Rhinolophus ferrumequinum: one gene and its partner. The protein of the gene in region 1 interacts with the protein of each later gene in a biochemical or structural test. Links are inferred from orthologs where the notes say so. Each region holds a gene or a part of one and is shown in the gene's direction. Other genes may lie near its edges. The genes, in order: DAPK3 and PAWR.

Evidence for each region.
Region 2: of the proteins of DAPK3 (region 1) and PAWR, one has a biochemical effect on the other in vitro, tested with the Homo sapiens proteins (2 studies listed by BioGRID). The link is inferred for Rhinolophus ferrumequinum from reciprocal best matches to the Homo sapiens genes DAPK3 and PAWR.

Annotation. Positions count from the first base shown.
Region 1 is NC_046301.1:59,574,844-59,584,645, forward strand, and holds the start of DAPK3 (death-associated protein kinase 3), read left to right. Parts: upstream 1-5,409; 5' UTR 5,410-5,483; intron 5,484-5,614; exon of another isoform or gene 5,615-5,820; intron 5,821-6,498; 5' UTR 6,499-6,593; coding exon 6,594-6,655; intron 6,656-9,802. Other genes in the region: EEF2 (elongation factor 2), read left to right, coding at 1-127. UniProt on the Homo sapiens protein: Serine/threonine kinase which is involved in the regulation of apoptosis, autophagy, transcription, translation and actin cytoskeleton reorganization. Involved in the regulation of smooth muscle contraction.
Region 2 is NC_046293.1:73,412,185-73,421,412, reverse strand, and holds the start of PAWR (PRKC apoptosis WT1 regulator protein), read left to right. Parts: upstream 1-5,551; 5' UTR 5,552-5,679; intron 5,680-6,171; 5' UTR 6,172-6,294; coding exon 6,295-6,819; intron 6,820-9,228. UniProt on the Homo sapiens protein: Pro-apoptotic protein capable of selectively inducing apoptosis in cancer cells, sensitizing the cells to diverse apoptotic stimuli and causing regression of tumors in animal models.

The DNA of each region.
Region 1 (9,802 bases):
GCAGATCCTGCCTGGAGACCCTTTCGACAGCACCAGTCGCCCCAGCCAGGTGGTGGCTGAGACGCGCAAGCGCAAAGGCCTGAAGGAAGGCATCCCTGCCCTGGACAACTTCCTGGACAAATTGTAGACTGCCCTTCCTGCAGCCTGCCACCCGGGCACAGCCCCTCACCAGCCCACGATCGACCACAACAGCAAGCCCACACATTCTCATGACACCTCGAGACTGTCCAGACCTAGTGCCGCGCTCCCGGCAGGTTCTGGGGCCACTCCGTGCCATCGCTCAACATGACCACTTGATGCCGTCTCTTTCGATATTTATTTCAAGATTTCAGAGGCAACAGATATGCCCTAGCCGCAGGGACTTATTTGGCTGGTGGGGAGGCGGGATGGGAAACCCAACACTTTTTTTTTTCCATTTCAGAGGGAAATTCATGTCAAAAAATTCTAAGTAAATGCATTAAGAGGTTTATTTGGGTAAAATGGCCCCTAGTGGATTTTCCCCCGGAAAGGGGGAGGGAACAAGCGGTAGACATTTCTCTTCGGACAGAAGCTAGAAGGCAGGAAATAATTGTGCAGTGTCACCATGAGCACCTCCAGCTGTATTAGTGCCATTGGAATAATAAATTTGATTATGGTGGTGACCGTGTGTGTCCACGCAACTTCCTCTTCAGTCCACTCAGGCTGGGGTGGGTTTGCCCCATGCCAGCACACATGGCATCTGTGACACTGCGATACAGAAAACTCTGTAACCTCGAATTGTCATTTCAAATGTCAGGCCTGGGCTCAGACACATGATCCAAGGCGGTTGAACAGCCCTTCCGTCCAATGGAACGTATTGTAATGGAACTGTCCTACCCAAGTGCTGTGGAGAGGGTCAGCCACTGGCTGGCTACAAGAGCACGGGAAATAAGACCTGCGAAGCCAAGGAACTGAATCTTTTGACTCTAAATTTCCGTAGTCTCATGGCGCTGGGGATGCCTTATTGGTCAGCACAGGCTTGGGCAACTAAATTGTCCCTGCTCTCAAAGTTCACGGTACAATGAGGGCAAACCACAAATAAACACGCACCATACACGTTCTCTTGCCCAACCAGATTGGTTGAGAAATTCTAGACCAAGTAATGTGGGACCAAGATCTTTTTTTTCATCTTTGATAAGCATCACAAATGCATCCCTGAGACAGCTGAAACAAGGACAGTGCCCCTTGGGGGCCATTTTGAATTCTCAAACAGGAGAGTCCCCATTGGCATTGAGAAAGTAGGAACAGGATGGCCGGTTAGTTCAGTTGGTTAGAGCACGGTTCTCTAACAAGGTTGTCGGTTCAATCCCCACCTGGGCCAATGGCCTGCACTCCACAATTACACTGGAACAACTAGAGTTGGAGCAGATGGGTCCTGGAAAAACAAGTGAAAACGAGTGGTTGGATGTCCCAAATATGTGGAATCCCTGCCCATCCAAGAATTGTCCTGTGCAGTCTGTCCAGACCCCTAGCACCCAGATGTTTTGTGTTGGTAATTTTTTGTCATCTGTGATGTTTGACACTTATAAAACACTATAATTTCATGCAGAAAAGTTGCAAAGATGTTACAAAGATGTTAACATCCTACGTAACCACTATGTCAAACCTCAGAAACACTTAACATGACTGTTAGCAGTTTATTTGGTTTTCCACTAATGTCGTTTTCTCTCAGGATCCAATCCAGGATACCACATTGCATTTCATTTTGCACATTTTATAAAATTAGTTTCAGGTGCACAAAGCGATGTAATAGTTGGACATTTACACCCCTCACAAAGTGATAACCCACCTCCCCCAATCTACTACCCCTCTGACATCGTATAGAGCTGTTACACAATTCCATTGACTATTCCCTACTCTACTCCACATCGTGTGACCTGGTACATATGTTAAATTATAGTTGACATTCATTGTTACTCAGCTTCAGCTTCGGGTGTACAGTGCAGTGGTCAGGCATCTATACTGTCCCTGAACTGGTCTCCCTAGTAAGACAAGTGTCCATCAAATACCCTATAGAATCTTTACGTGATTGATTATATTCCCCAAACTGTCTTTCGGTTGTCTGTAGCAATCTTGTGGTTACCGATTGTGCTTTCTAATCCCCTCACCTTCCTCACCCCACCCCCTCCCATCTAGCAACCCTCAGTTTTTCCCTATATCTGTGAGACTGTTTCTGATTGGTTTGCTCATTTATTCTATTCTTCAGATTCCACATATAAGTGAGATCATAAGGTATTTGTCTTTCTCCGTCTGATTTATTTCACTCAGCTTAAAGTTCTCTAGGTCCATCCATATCGTTGCAAAAAGTAAGATTTCATTTTTTAGGCCGAGTAGAATTTTGCACAATTTTAATACCAACTAATTGCGCCAGGGAAGAGTATATAAACTGAGAAAATTGAACTGCATTTGGTTTAATTTCAAGAATTTTTCACCAATTCTAAATTAACTGGTGGCAGTGCCACTTGTGTGTGCTTTTATAGTTGTCACATTCACAGTGATTGCGTTTATAGGGGCTGACTGCTACCGTCAGTCCTTAAGGTCACGAGACTTGAACATTATTAGTATGTTACAAGTGTGTGTATATTTGTACGTGTGTATTGCTCTCTACTTACATTTGTTGTCTTTTGATTTTAGTTATTTTTCTCAGTTGTTTTGGTGTCCGGACCGCTGTACACTCTCAAACACTGAGGGTCCCAGAGTTTAAATGGGTATATCTACTGACATATACCGTATTTAAAAATTAAAATTAAGAAATTTAAAAAAGTTACTGATTTTAAAATAGCAATAAACTCATTACATTTTAACATAAATAACCTATTTTTAGGGGAAAAGTTCTCTGTTTTTCAAAACAAAACATGAGAGTGGGATTATTCTACATTTTTGCAAGTCTGCAGTCTTTGGCGTAATAGAAGACAGCTGGAGTCTCATGTTTGCTTCTGTATTAAATGTTTCAATACGTTGTTTTGGTTGAATTATAGGGAGAGAACCTACCCTCACTCATCCCAAACTTGGAAAAGAGAGAAGCATTTTAATACCTTTTTTCAGATAATTGTGGATATTCTTTGATACAAAACCAAAACTCAACAAGTGGTGTTTTTGTTTTTTTTTAATTTTTTCCTCCTTTCTTCCACTTCCCCCTCACACTCCGGTTCAAGCCGTTGTCTCTCAGTCTAGTTGTGTAGGACACACCCTGGCCCATGCTGGTATTATGAGCCTCAGCTGGTGGCCGCTGGGCCATTTACAGCAGCTCTCGCCAGCTGCACACGGTCGCCCACGGCACCACTCAGCAGCTCACGCCAACCTCCAGGTTCTCATGGCAGCCTAGCTCCAGGAAGTGCTGTTGTTCACAATCTTAGCTGCAGAGGGCGCAGCTCACTGGCCCATGTGGGAATCGAACCAGCGACCTCGGCATTAGGAGCTGGGCACTCCAACCACCTGAACCACTGGTCTGGCCCCAAGTGTTGGTTTCTTAAATAGAAATTACAATGCATCTGAAACCACATTAATGAGCTTTTCGTACTGTTACATTAAAATCTATTGGTCTGTCTTGCACTTTGAATGGGTCTTTTCTCCAGGCACGATTTTATAACACCAAGTGGTGGTGGTTTCGCAATATTGGTAAACCAAGTTTGCAGCTATTTGAGATGTTGACATAGTTCATTAAACACTTGAAAAATCAAATTTGTCAATATCAATTTCATCAGGAAAGTGTGGAAGTATTGGGAAACTGTCAAGCAGTTTTTGAAAATTTAATTTTTTGCTTGAAATTTTGCCATTGGCAACCATTACTGTCAACTGTTATCCTTGAATTGACAGTTTCAATTTGTTCATTTTTGAGAAAATGCTTCTGTGAAAAAACACACAAGTCTGAATTATTATAGTTTGTCAGGTTTTTTTGGAAGTAAAAATGATGTTTCAACTTCTCATTAAGTGTGGGCTGCGCAGAAGTAATTCCAAAGCATACAGTATGGAAGGGGAGAGAAAAGTATAGTGGAGAAACCTATCAAACTAACCTAGAGCCAGGTGACAGGGTCAACATCAACAGTGATAAGTCATGTGGATCGTATGGACCCTGGATAGGATGTGATGAAAATGGCACTTTACTATGTAATACATTACCCATCACCCCAGTCAAACCATGAGAAAAACATCAGATACCTCAATTGAGGGAAATTCTATTAGGTTGGTACTAAAGTAATTGCGGTTTTTGCAATAATACAAAATACCTGACCAACCCTCAAAACTGCCAGTCACTAAAAACAGGAAAGAGAAAACTGTCATAGCCAAGAGGAGCCTAAGCTGTGATTACTAAATGTCATGTGGGATCCTGGATGGGATCCTGGGACAGAGAAAGGACCGGGAAACTCAGGAATCTGAACAAAAGTAGGGACTTTGGTTAATAAAAATGTATCACCGCTGATTTCTTCAATTGTAAGACATGTACTATACTAATGGAAGACATAACAATAGGGTGAAACTGGGTATGGAAGAAGGTGCTGATTTAGCTGTGAACTGATGTGTGTATAGTTCTTAGACAGGACTGGAGGAAGGTGATCTCCAGGCAGAAGAAACAGCTCGTGCCAACACTTGGGTTAGGAATGAAATGTTTGAAGTCAGAAGGAAGGCACGTGGGTTTAAAGTAGAGTGAACAAGAGGAGAATGGCACGATGTTAGGGTGGTCAGCAAAAGCCAAAAGACAGTCTAGTGTCTGAGGTGGTTAAGCATTAATTTGGGTTCAGGCCTATCTGGGAATCAATCTCAGCTGTGTCATTTACTGGCTGTGTGATTTTGGGTGGGTTACTTAACCTCTCTGTGGCTCAGTTCCCCATCTGTAGAACGGGGGAAATAATATAATTTACCTCCTAAGGTTTTTTTGTTTTGTTTCGTCTCGAGACAGACAGGAATCATAGAAGGATCCTCAAGAGGGAAAGGCAACACCTAACTGAACTCCTCATGTGTATTTTTATTTACGGATTTGGAATGTGGGTAACATTTTACAGCTACTCGGGGACTAAAGCAGCCCAGGAGCTGCCATGCCGGAGCTGGACCTTGGATTCGTATATCTTGTGACTAAGAAAGGCAGGAAGAGGGATGCAGGACTTCGGCGTGCACCTTCCAGCTTCAGGACCCAGGTCAGAGAAGAGCGGGCGGGGCGACCCAGGGGCCGAAAGTCGATCTTCTGACTTCCGTAAGCTTGACCGGCTTCCATTATAGCCAATCAGCTTCATAAAGGCGAGCCTGTCGACCAATGGAAACGAGGCATCCGGGTGCGGAGGGCCGAACGCTAGCGGACCTGGGCCTGACAGGAAGCAGGGGAGGGGCGTCACGATCGACAGGGGCGCTGACCAATGGGTCTCCGCCTCCCAGAGGAAAGCACGGGCGGCCACGGTGACGTAGCCGCAGGTCAGCGCGTAGAGGCGGCCAGCGCGGCGGAGGGGCGGGCTGGGGCCGCGGGGCTGTGGAGGGTGAGGAGTGGGCTTTATTCGAGGCTGTTGAGTGTGTGTGTGTGTGTGTGTGTGTGTGTGTGTGTGTGTGAACCCTTGGGGGACCTGCGGCACGTTTGGGGGACTTCTGGGATGACCGAGCCGGAGAGGGGTCTGGGCCGGGGCCTGTGAGGGGCGTGGTGGCCTCTGGGGCACGTGAGCAGAGACGTTACCGGTTGGGGACCCTTGGAAGGGTTTATGAAGGGGGATTTCCGGGTCTGCCATGGAGTTTGAGGGAAGGTTGGGGGCGACGGGCAATGGAGGAGACTCTCAGATGTGGCTCTTTGCCGGGGACGCATTCGGAGTGAGGGAGCCGGAGGTGGGGGCCTTTACCTGGAGGGATGCCTTTGAGGAGAGGGAAGAGGGGTCTTGCTAGCACGGTGGAGTTCAAGGGTAGGCCAGAATGGGTAGGGAGCTTGCAGGAGCTTGGAAGCTATTGTCCAGTTCCTGGAGAATTCAGTATTGGGGGGAGCATACCGCTGAGGAGGGCCTTAAGGGACGGCTGAGGTGGGGGTATGTGGAGCGCATGGGTGAGGATGAAGAGGACTCGAGAGTGCTGATGGGCACGGAGATGGGAGTGTTGGGACTGGCACCGGGAAGTTGGGCAGGGAGTGAGGGAGTTCTGGGGCTCGGGAGTGTGAAGCGGGGGGAACTTGCAGGAATGTGTGGGGGCCCTGGATGAGTTGGTGGGAGAAGCCTAGGAGGGAAGAAGCAGAGAAAGGCTGGGGCAGTGTGTGAGGAACCAGAGGTATGTGCCTGGTGGGAGTTGGGGGGCAAGGTGGCACTTTCGGGCTAATGGCGGCCTTTTGGCCGGTTTAGTGTCTAAGTGAGATGACACACGAAAGTACCTGGCCTGCCAAATTCAAGTGTCCTTCCCAGGGAGCGTGGAACTTCAGCGTGGAGTGATGTGAAACCTATTTTTGGTGATCAGGTTGCTTCGTTTACTATGAGTAATGGCTGGCATCTCACTCCTTCCCCATTTCCCTGTCTCCTCCAGGATCACGGCTGGGGGACTCCCCGAGGTCCTGTCCCCAGGCTGCGGTGACTGGGCTTTCACTGGAGCAGAAGGTGCTGGAAGGCAGACCGACCACCATGTCCACATTCAGGCAGGAAGATGTGGAAGACCACTATGAGATGGGGGAGGAGCTGGGCAGGTGAGTGACCCCTTTGACAAGGCTCCAGGGTGGGAGAGGCACTGAGGGGTTTTCTGGATAGTTCTCCTCTCCTGTCCTCTATCCTACTCTCCTAAAAGGAATGAGTCAGGGTCATGTGCCGGTGAAACAAGTTTGGGCTTTGGAACCAGACAGCCTGGCCGAGAGTTCTTACTCTGACATCCTCTCTGCATTTTCCTTTGGGGAGAAACGTAATTGAGCACATATGGTATGACACAGTGCCTGGCATATGGCGTGAGAGCAGTAGGTGTTAGCAGCTTTTGTAGGTAAAGGTCTGTTCCTCTCTTAATCCTCTCTTAGGGGTGGTACTTGAGTCTTCCCAGGTCTTGACCTTTCCAGGGAAGGCCTCCGGTCTGGGCCCACAACCCTGCCAGTTGTGTAGCATTCTTGTGGGAGAGAGGGGAGGCTTTCTGTGCCAGCCAGGCAGCTGATTTCCTGCCTGGCCGGGCCTTATAGCCTCCCCTGGGAGCTGACTCCCCCGCCACCCCAGATCAGCTAGGCACTATCCCTTTTTGTTTTTGGTGGAGCCTCAAACCTTATTTGGTGAGTTTGCTGCTGGCTGGCCCCATGATGTCACCAGAAGGGAATGTAAATAACTGAGCCCTGCTTTCAGGCCTTTGCTGAGAGAGTGTTTCAGGCTCATTTGGGATTCTGAAGTCTCTCCTTTAGGAATTTCCCCTTTAGAGTGGTAGTGAATGCAGCACCCCTCACCCCAAATCTCATACTTTATTGTTGAAAATGTATTAGGATAGCCTGCTGAGGATAGTTTCGCAAAATTCAGCAAAATGTCGTATGTGTATTCCCTTTAACCCACAGGTTCCACTGCTAGGAATTAATTCAGTGTGAATACATACATACATGGACCCAATGACCTAGGAACAGGGAGAGTTGCTATAAAGATTTTATAAGAGCAGAAGATGGGAAGCATCTTCAGCGGCCATCACAGCACCCCTGCATCCATAGATGGAACATTATGCAGCCATTAAAAGAGCCAGGCACCTTGTGTAATGTGAGCCACAGAAGAAATTGATTGAAATTTAATTGAAAATTTAAAAGCTGTGTCAGTTTTAATAATTTTAATGATATATTTCATTTAACCTGATCAAACTATTATCATTTTGCTTTTTTATAAACTTTTATTTAAGTGTGTTTTTCCAGGACCCATCAGCTCCAAGTTAAGTAGGTGTTTCAGTCTAGTTGTGGAGGGCGCAGCTCACAGTGGCCCACTAACGGAGCTAACCAGCCGCCCCCGTGTCATTTTGTAATCATCATGTAATCAGTATAGCAATTATTAGTGAAATAATAATTCCGTTTTTTTATCATTCAACATTTTATATATAATAAATACAAACTTTTTATAGCCACTGGAAAGAAAGCACGTCTGCACCGAGACACTCCCTTCAAGCCTGACCCTGTGCACTGTGATGCTGCATTAAATGTCCTGGAGGGAGGGGTTCTTCTTAAAAAGGAGGCATATTTTTACAGCTTTGTTTTTTTGAAATAAAATTAGCAGCTCTTCCAAAAAATATTTTAAAAATATGACAAAAAATTTCAAATAACCCTCCAAAAATGTGGAAAAGCGAGATTCAGGACAATTTGGCTAGCGAAAGCGAAAATACAAGAGTGGGTGGCAAGGGGGCGGACGGGTAGCTCAGTTTGTTAGCGCGTGAGCTCTGGGCAACGGGACTGCTGATTTAATGCCCACATGGGCCAGCGAGCTGCGCCCTCCGCAACTAAAATGAAGTCAATGAACTGGCGCTGAGCTCCCGGGTGGCTCAGTTGGTTGGAGCATGGGCTCTCAACCACAAGGCTGCTGGTTCGACTCCCGCAAGGGATGGTGGGCTGCGCCCCCTGCAACAAACGGCGACTGGACCTGGAGCTGAGCTGCACCTTCCACAATTAAAACTGAAACAACAACTTGACTTGTATGGAGCTGATGAGTCTTGGGAAAAACACACTACTCTTCGTTCCCCAATAAAAAGTCTTGGAAAAACACACTGTTCCGCAATAAAGTCCTGTTCCCCTTCCCCAATAAAATCTTTAAAAAAAAAAGAAAAAAGAAAAAAACCCAAAAAAGAATAGAGAAAACAAAAGTAATGGTGACTATTAGAAATGTACAGGGGCCATTACTGCAGATGGATCAAGACCTGCTTAAAAGGGTGGCAAGAACTGCCTAATTTTATGCACTTTGAAGATTTTTTTTCTTTTTAACCTTTTTTTTTTTTTTTTTTAAATTTTAAGTGTGTTTTTTCAGGATCCATCAGCTCCAAGTCAAGTAGTTGTTTCAATCTAGTTATGGAGGGCGCAGTACACAGTGGCCCATGTGGGGATCGAACCGGCAACCTTGTTAAGAGTACACACTAACCAGCTGAACCATCCGGCTGCCCCTCGGCAGCTCAGTGGCAGCTCTGCTCAAGTTGTCCTCAGTCTAGCTGTGGAGGGTGCAGCTCAGCTCCAAGCCCAGTCGCCAGCCTCAATCTAGTTGCAGGGGGCGCCGCCCACCATCCCATGTGGGAATTGAATCGGCAACCTTGTTCAGAGCTTGCGCTCTAACCAACTGAGCCATCCGGCTGTCCCTAGCACCTCTTTTTGATATGAAGCCTTTGAAGTGTGGTGTGTATTGTTGGCTCACAGAACATCTCGATTTGGACGGGCTTGACAGTGCCTTGTGGCCAGTGGCTGCTACCTTGGCCAGCACTGCTCTGTGTGATGGTTGGGAACATTCTCAGAGATACATGAAGTGAAGGATTAATGGCATAGAACACTGCACACTGTGTTGTAACTTGTATAAATTGTAGATGTCGTTTGGACATCTGAATTCTAGGCTGTCTTTATGTTACTTCCGTTCATCTACCAAAGGACCTACGAGGCAGGTGCCATTATCCTCATTGTAGATAAAGAAACTGAGGCTGAGTAGAGGGCGGCGGCTTACCCAAGGCCACGCAGCCTGTCAGTGGCCAAGCAGGATTCAGATCTTGGGACCAAACCCTGCTGGCTCCAAAGCCCAGGCGTGCTGGAACCAGAGGTAGGTATTTGGCTTCCACCTGCCTGCCAGCCTGCTCTGCCCCCATATCCTGGTAACGGGCCCGTTAGATGTCCAAACAAAGATAAGCCCTGCGTGTTGGGAAG
Region 2 (9,228 bases), on another chromosome or scaffold:
ATCCCCCCAAAAACAGTAAAAAAAAGAAATACAACCATTTTTAATGTTACTGTCAGACATTTTTTCCTAGGTTTTTAATAATAGGAACATTATGTAATATAACGGGCCACATCTTCAAAAACAGTCCACAGAATATACAACATATTTCAGAAAGCTTTCTAATAGTGTCAGTTAGGAGGGGCTTATGATGTCATTCAGTGAGGAGGGAAATAAGATGTATAGGTCTCTACTGATCTGGCTTCATCATGGTTTAGATTTCAAAGCATCTGCAGAATCGATGGATTGATTATAGACTTCCTGTTAAGAGTGAACACACATGTTTATCTCTACTCCCTCAAGTAACTTCACTAAAACAAAAGTAAAGTGATAACGAGTAACAACAAAGAGGATGAGAGATGAGAAGAAAATTTTAGAAAATGAAAGCTGGAAAACAGATAGACTTTAGCAGAGTGGAGAAAGATGAATTCTAACCACCTGCAGGAGACAAAGTCAATAAGAAGTAATCCTTTTTTATCCTGAAGAACCCTAAAGACAACCTAGAAGTTGAAGGCAACAGCATATACCTCTGAAAGACAGCAAAGGATGGGAGGGAAAACAGAAGGATTAGTTGAAAATCTGCATACGGAAAAGTTAGATGCTGCTCTTCAAGGCTCAGTAGCAAGGAGGCTGTCTCTCTTGATCTTGGCAGAGTGCTGGAAATTAATGCTCTGTATATATTGAATCACGAGTGTAATGAACTTGAGAACACCAGGCATACTGAGCATAGGGACTCAGTGAAATCCGTATGTTGAGTAGTGAGACTCCCCCAGCTCTTTTTCCCTACTTGGCTGAAACAGTTGACAAGTGGCAACACAGGCAGGAGCACAGTTTCTCTCAGGGAAATCGATCTGGCCAAGAGAAAAACGTCATAGATACTGACATTTGACCCATGCTTTCACAACATGCCTGGGTCCAAACAACACCCTCCTAAATGAGGACCGTCAATCAGTAAGCTCTGCCTTTTCACAGAGGAGCATCCAATCAGCTTTTAAGTGCTGCAGTCTTAAATATGAATGAACAACAGACTGATGAGGAAATCCTCTAACATGAAAGGTGAAGAATAAAACAATGAAAAAGAAAAAAAAAGGAATACATAGACAAGAGACAGTGAAAGACCAGCAGGAGAAAAGTTCAATTTCCGTAGGGAGAGAAAAGATGATGACACAAGAATAGGATACTATGGAGAAAAGCATTTAGAGAATGAGAAATCTTAGAAAACCATGGTGGCAAAACCAGAAAATTCAATAGAAAGATTGACATATAAGGTGGGGGAAATTTCACTGAAAGTAGAACAACATGCTAAAGAGATGGAAACAGGAGAAAAAATATTAAAAAAACTATTAGAGAGCTCTTAGAAGTCCAACATCTATTTAAGAGGATTCCAGAAACAGAGAACAGGAAAAATGGAAAGGAATAATTATCACAGCTATAGGCCAAGGACATTTTCCAATTGAAGGGCAGAAAGCAGAATGAAAGGGTCCACTGAGCCTAATATAATAATGAGAAAAGACCAAATCAGGGCAAATCTTCAAGATATTTTGGAAGATCTGGGTAAGAAGATCTAAAAACTTCCAGTGAGAAAATAAAAGGAATCAGAATGCCATTGCTTTTCTAAACATCAACTCTGGAAACCAGAAGACAATATAGTGATGTGTTCAAAGTTATGAAGGAAAATATCCAATCTAGTGTTCTATGTCCCAACAAACTATTAATCAAGTGCAGAGACAAATTAAAAACCTTTTCCAACCTGCAAAGTCTCCAAGAATGTGTAATCCTATCTCCAGAATATATTGAGCATGTACTCCACTAAAACGAGGGGGAAAAAACAAGAGGACAATAGGGGATTCAGGAAACAAGGGGTCTGCACAGGAAATGATTCCCAGGATGACAGGGAAGCATCATCCCAGGATAACCACGGAGCAACGTGCTTTAAAATCAATCCAGACTAGAGCAGAGGATGGAGGGCTCTAAGAGGAGATGTCTCCAAGGAAAACAGAAATAGAACTGATGGAGTACACCATGTGATTAACGTTGAGAGGTGAAAAAGTTTCAGTGTCAATTTGTGACTGGTATACAGAAAAATAAGCTAATGAGAAGGAAAACAACAACAACAACAAACACAAATTTTAACTGTGGAAAAAATAGTTGTGCAACAGAAAAAAGTTGTTAAAAAAATAAATCATAGTACACTGTATGGCTCAGCTATGAGCAATATTTGCATAGTCATAACAGTGTAAACATTTAATGTTCTTCAATAAAATCATGATATATAGTGGGCATTTAGGAGTAAGGAAAGTGTATATGTAGTTAGTGTAAGAGCGTTAAATATTCTTCTGTATTAGGAAGTCAGTAAAGGATGTCAAAAAATGGAAAAATCAAAAAGTAGAATAGCAGATAAGGACATTTAAAAAAATAAGTATGAAGATGTGTATTAGAAACATTAAAAAAATAAACATGAAGATCTATATTAGCAAAAACAGTTAAAAGAGTTCCAACTTCTGGAAAGGGTTTTGGGAGTGGAAAGGGTAGGTTGCAGTCTTTTGCTATAGTCCATGCAGAACTAAAGTATTTAACTTTTAAAACCATGTACGTGTCTTATTTTTGAGGGTGAATTGCATATACTCCAGAAGGCAAAATGGCTATTTCCCAATATCCTATTAATTATTTCAACACATACAAATAGGCTATTTCACATTACAGCTAATCTACTGCCTAGAAAACATTAAGATTTAACATTTAGAATAAATTTCAATCTGACATATTAAAATGAATCTCTCTGTTTTGTTAGCATCATACTTCCCTTTATTATTAAGAGCAAGTGAGTCACCAAAGTTAGTTATTTTAAGCTAGCTCAGAGCTTCTCAACTGGGGAAGATTTTGCCCCTCGGGGAACATCTGGCAGTCACAACCGGGATTGGGGGCAGATACTGGCATCTAATAAGTAAAAGCCAAGGATGATGCTAAATATCCTACAATGGACAGGACAACTCCCCGAACAAAGAATTAGTTTGTCCCAAATGTCAATAATGATGCAGCTGAGAAACAAGTTCCGAGTCTCTGATGATTATTTCATCAGAATGCTATACATCAAGATCGATGATATACAAACATTTTGCAATTTAGGATTGATTCAGCTAAATATCTTGATGCACTATTGGAAGTTGTCTGTCTGTGAACTATATCTTTGGGAATATTGAGAATGGTAAAGACAAAGGTATAATAAATGGTAACAATAATAATATATAGTGCTTTGTACATCAATAATCTCTTTCATCCATGGTTCCTAGGGCACTTTATAGACTAATAATAACTACTCCGGTACTCACATATTACCTTTTATCTAAGGACCTCAGGCACTTTCACAACACTCTCACAATGTAGGAAGTATTATTATTATCCCTATTTTATATGTAAGTAAACAGAGGCACAAAAGTTAAGCAACTTACTCAAAGCCACACTAGTCAGTAATAGCCAACATTCCTGACTCAGAGCCTATTAATACTGGTCTAAGAGATGCAGTGACAAATTTATGTGGCATAAGTGTTATTCTAGTTATTCAGCTTATTGTTTTCAAGTTCATTTGTGTGTGCAGTACCTTTGTTGCCTAATTCCACCCAACCCCCCACATCTTAGAGACCCAGGACTCTCTCTGCGTGATATCCCATTAATAAAAGGCACTGTATTTACTGAGTGCCTTCCTAGAACCAAGCTCAGTTAACACGCCTGCCATGTCAATTCTTATAACAGCTTAAAAATACTGGGGGTGCCCAAAAATGTATGAAAGTGGACACTTTGGTCAACGTTGCTCAAACAGCAGTTCGCCGTAATCAGAAGTGTCTGGACACTGATGGTAACCTCTCTGAGCACCTCTTGTAATTGCAGAAGTCAAACGTGACTTATATTCATCTTTTGTTATCGGTATATATTGAGTATTACAATTTTAATACACTTTTCCTTTCTTAAAATGTGTATACATTTTTTGGCACCCTCTGTATATGCTGTCGCTGCTGACTTTTATAGTAAAGAAAGCTGAGTTTCAGAGAATTTAAACATGCCCAAGACCTCTCAGCTACTTATAGTTGTATCCAGGCTGACTATATCCTCTTTCCACTGCATCCTGCAGCCCCTCCAAGCATATTCATATGAATCTGTTTAATGCCCAACCCTCCCTCTCCTCTCTTAAAACTCAGAAAACAAACTAATGAAGAATCTGTAATTGAGGAATTGCAAGTGGTGCACCCAGGTTGGTACCAGCTAGGCTCCGCATTTTAAACCCATCCCCAAGGAAGGCCTTTAATTTTCTAAGGATTTTTCCAGAGCTCTCTCCCGGTAACCCATATGTTCACCCCAACAGCGAGACCAAAGACCAGAACTGTATGACCTCCCCTCTGAGAAATAAATAGCAAGTGAATCACTTTTTCCTGTTCTCATTCCTGTCGCAGGCACACAATGACTGCCTACCCACCGCGAGCCACCTGGGTGAAACAGGAATACTAAATAGGAAGAGAGATTTACTGTTCGGTAAGAGTGTGACTCAGGGCTCGCCTACTTCTTCCAAAATGGTCCATTTGTACCCTATGACAGGGATGTTTCCCCGGCACTGCTTGTAGTAAGTCTCCTTAGGACCCTGTCACGGGCAGCCCACCCAGCCCTGATCCAGGAATCTTAGATGATTTGCATCTGAGGATAAGATTTACCCTACGGCGCCTTAAGGATGGAAACATAGAGGCTCCCACCGCCCCAGCTCCTAGCAAATCAGCATCAACGCAGCTTTAGTACTTTGGTAGGCAGCTTTGCTGCTAAATTCACTATCTGCAAAGAGGAGATGTAGAGACAGGGTTAAGAAGAAAATTCCAATAGAATTGAGATCCAATCCATTGTCGAAATGTTTTTAAGTTTTCTTCTATACGTATAATAGTAAACCCTTAACTGTCGACTTAAGCCCCTCCTTTTAGGTAACCCTTGCACTAGGATACCACAAACTTTTCTTAGTAAGGAGGGGGCTGGGTTTGTATCAGTTCTTTCTATTCTTTACCTGCCACCCTAGTACATCTGAGAAGGGGTTGGCGACGAGGCAGAGGGACGCGCGAGTGTTTTCCCATCCTGGCTAGTCAGGCCTGAATCATCCCAAGTTGATTGCATTTGCCCCCTCTGCCAGCAGCATTCGAGACTTTCCCTCGAAGAATCTGTCTTGTACTTAAAAGGAAGAGTGGTGGGAGAAGGGAGAGGCGGAGATGAGGAGCCGGGTGAAGGGCGTGGGGGGCCGTTCCCGCCCGGAGTCGGAGGCGCCAAGAGGCCGGACGCCGCGGGGCCGCGAGCCCAGGAATGCGCGGTCCGACCGGCGGGCTGGCCGCGGCGCCGTGCACCTGAGCGCCGGGGGCGGGGCGGGGCGGCGGCGGGCACGACCCCCCACCCATCGCGCGCCGCGCCCCTCCGCGCCGTCTCGGCCCTTTCCGCCCGCGCTTCGGCGCCGCTCGGCTCCCCTCCCGCCCCTCGCTCCCTCCCTCCTTCCCTCCCCCCCAGCCCGGTGCGCGGCGAGCTCGGGACGGCGAGTTGGCCGCAGCTCCTTCCGCGCGGCCGCTTCCGCTCACCTGGGCGCCCGCTCCCAGCCCAGCGTCCCGTCCCGCAAACCCCTCCCAGGTAAGGGGCTGCCCCGGCCGCCCCCGCACCCGTCCCTCCCCAAGTCCGCTGGATAGCTGGTGTCTACACGTCCCGCCGCCTCCGCGAGCTGCGGGGGCTCCGCGCCTCGCCGGGGAGTGGGGGTGTCGGTGGCGGGGACCCCGGGCCGGCAGTGCGCGGAGCGAGGTGCAGGAGATGCGACGGGCCGACTGGTGGCCGGGTCCGGCCCTGGTCCCCCGACCGCCGTAGGCGCGGACCCCGCTGGGGATGGGGCGGGGGCCGGGGGTGGGGACAGTCCCTTTCTCCTCCCCTCGAGGGGCGGTGATCGTCCCGTCCGCGGTGTAGGTGCGTCGGACAAACTTCGCAGGTTGGGGACTCGGCAGCCACTCGCCGGCGGGCACGAGTGGGCGCGCTCTGGGTGGGGGCTCCGAGCGGCGCGGCCGCGGGGAGACCCTCGGGCCGGGCGAGGACCTTACGCTTCGCTTCTCCGCCCCCTTTTGTGTTTCCCCTCAGACGGCCGGCCGCTCCCGCGGGGGTCGTTCTCTCACCCTCCGGGCCGCGGGCAGGAAGAGGCGGCGGCGGCCGGAGCCCGGGTGGGCGGCCTGAGGTGAGAGCCCGGCCGGCTCCGCTGGGAATATGGCGACCGGTGGCTACCGACCGGGCGGCGGCGGCAGCAGCAGCAGCAGCAGCACCACAGACTTCCTGGAGGAGTGGAAGGCGAAGCGCGAGAAGCTGCGCGCCAAGCAGAGCCCCCCGGGCCCGGCCGCCCCGGGAGGGGGCAGCAGCGACGCGGTCGGAAAGCCCCCGCCAGGGGCTCTCGGCACCTCGGCGGCCGCCGCGGCTAACGAGCTCAACAACAACCTCCCGGGAGGCGCGGCCGCACCTGCCGCCCCCGGGGGCGTGAACTGCGCGGTGGGACCCGCGGCGCTGACCCGGGCGGCCCCCGGCCCGCGGCGGCCTGAGGACGAGCCCCTCGCCGGCGCCGCCGCCGCCGCCTCGGGGACCCCGCCGGCCCGGGGCGACGAGGAGGAGCGGGACGGCGCCTCGGAGAAGGGCAAGAGCTCGGGCCCCAGTGCCAGGAAAGGCAAGGGGCAGATCGAGAAGAGGAAGCTGCGGGAGAAGCGGCGCTCTACCGGCGTGGTCAACATCCCCGCGGCGGAGGTGAGCCGGCGGGGGCCGCGGCCGGACCCGGGTGGGGGCGGGGGCTGCCGCCTGCTGGAACCTTCTTCCCGGGAGCTCCGGGCCTCCAGGGCCCAAGCGTTTCCCTGTTGTAGCTCGAATCGCTTATCCTTGCACCGAGTTAGGCAGGCAGAGGGTGATGGAGTTTTACTCTGAACAAATGCTTCCTGGGAAGTTCTCAAAACCCCAAGTAGGACACGTGCTTTTCAGGCTTCCTGGCTAACGTCTCAGACCCGGGATCCTTTTTTTCCCCCACTGTGGTGGAAAGACAATCCCTGGCCCCAGCACTTGCTCACCTAGGTTTGTTTTTCTATGCTTGATCAGTTAGAAAAATTGATTAATGGTGATGACGATATACTCTAGTTTTTCACGTGTCCGTCTCAAGTTATATTGTTTATCTCTTTTTCTCTCTTACCAGTGTTTAATATAGCACCTGTAAAGGAAACGTGGCCTTAGCATTTGTCTAAGACAGCTTTGTCTTTCAGTGAACCCAAGATGAGTACATCCAAATGAATATGTGCACTATTTCATATATAAACCAGCCTTTGTAAATAGCGCTCCCCAACACACACACACACACACACACACACACACACACACACACACACACACACACACACACACACACACACACACTTCTGAGTGCTATTTAGGACAATAGGAACGCCGTAGCAACCCACAATTCTTTTTACTAAGACGATCTCATGTTTAAGTATTTGGCTCTATGTATTCTGGAAAACATTTGTGGTAGGGTTGGATTTTTGTTTTGTTTTGGTATTTTTGAGCAGTCTCAAAATACTTCTGCAGGCAGCAGCATCTTCCTATTAGAGTGACTGGTGAAACATTTTACTGAGTGTGTAACTGCACCGCTGTCTACCCTAAATAAAACAACCCTAAACAAGTTTTGGTTACTTTCATGTAGCTCACCTTGTTTCACCTAAAGTAGTTGCATCTTTTTATCGTTGGCTTATATTTTACTTTTTTTTTTTTTAACTCCTGGCTTTCAATTTATTCAACTCTGACCCCAAGTAAATAATAAGAATTTATGAGCTTTAATTGTGGTTCAAGTAAACGCATTGGTAGTAAGTTAGGGTGTATATCAAACATACCCAAATTTTTAAGTCTTAATATGATTCCCATACCTGGAAAATCAGTTTGTCTTTGAAGGGTATATTTTTATATGAGTGTTTCAGAGAGGTTTTTATCAGCCAGCCAAACTATCCTCTGTGGTTTGCTACTTGCACAAAAGATCTGTTATTCATTAAATTGCTTTAAAAGGAATTCACAAGAGTGGTAATCAAATTTCTAGGGTTTTTTTTTTTTTTAAGTTAAAAATATGAAGATTAAGGGGAAACAAGACAAGGCTTTGGAAAATCTACATTCCTAAAGTTTATTTTCTAAAGTAGCTGATGGTCCAAATAAAAGAATTTGTCATTTTCAGTCTTTTCTTCATTATCCATCTGACAGTGGTCTTATTTTGGGAAATATCTTGGCAGATGTTAAACTTCATTATTTGGCTGCTTGTGCTAAAATTGTTATTTTTCAAATACCATTTTGTTTTTGTTTTTTTAACAAGGGTAATGTTTACTGGGGGAAATAAGTATGGTGTATCTTGTGAGATCCTAAAAAACATCCTTTGTTAATATTCCTACTTTGGGTAAGGGAACATAGTGCTGAGAATGTAGATGACTTCCCACTATAATTGAGTCTAATACTCTGGAATGTTTTTCGTTTGGGTGTTGGCAACTCCTAAATTTAATCTTCCTTAAAAACAAACAACCCAGGGTACCATTTTTTTGTCTGTGGAATTTGAACCTTTTTTATGGAACAGGGAATTGAGGAGTGCTTTTTTTTTTGTCGTAACTGTGGCTCTGTTTCATTCTGTAGGACTCAACAAAACATGGTAATGTTTTATCACAGTATCTAATTAGCAGACATACTTCTTGAGTTCCTCCTCCCCATATTTTCAGTTTGAAAACAACTCTCCCAAATTATTGTAGTAGTGGTAAAACATACGACTCAAAGCTTCAAACCATTCGCTATGAAGCATTTTTATATCTTTAGGTTGTTGCTTTTTTAGAATTGTGTGTCATTCATTTCTATTAGTAGTTTCAACATTGAGGATGCCAGTTGTTGTGGAGTTTCTCATGTAATATTACTTAGCACTCCTGTTTAAAAGTCATAATATTTTACAAAATTTTCATGTATGAAATTATTATAAAAGCAGAAAAAGCACCAATCTGTCATTATTCAGAAATAGACTTGTATTATATATAATGTTGACTGACACTCTTATTTTCAGACCATATTCCCAACCAAGTTTATATTAGATTAGCAAACATTTTGTATGCAAAAAGCTTATTTTAGTGGTTGATAAACAGTAAGTTCCTT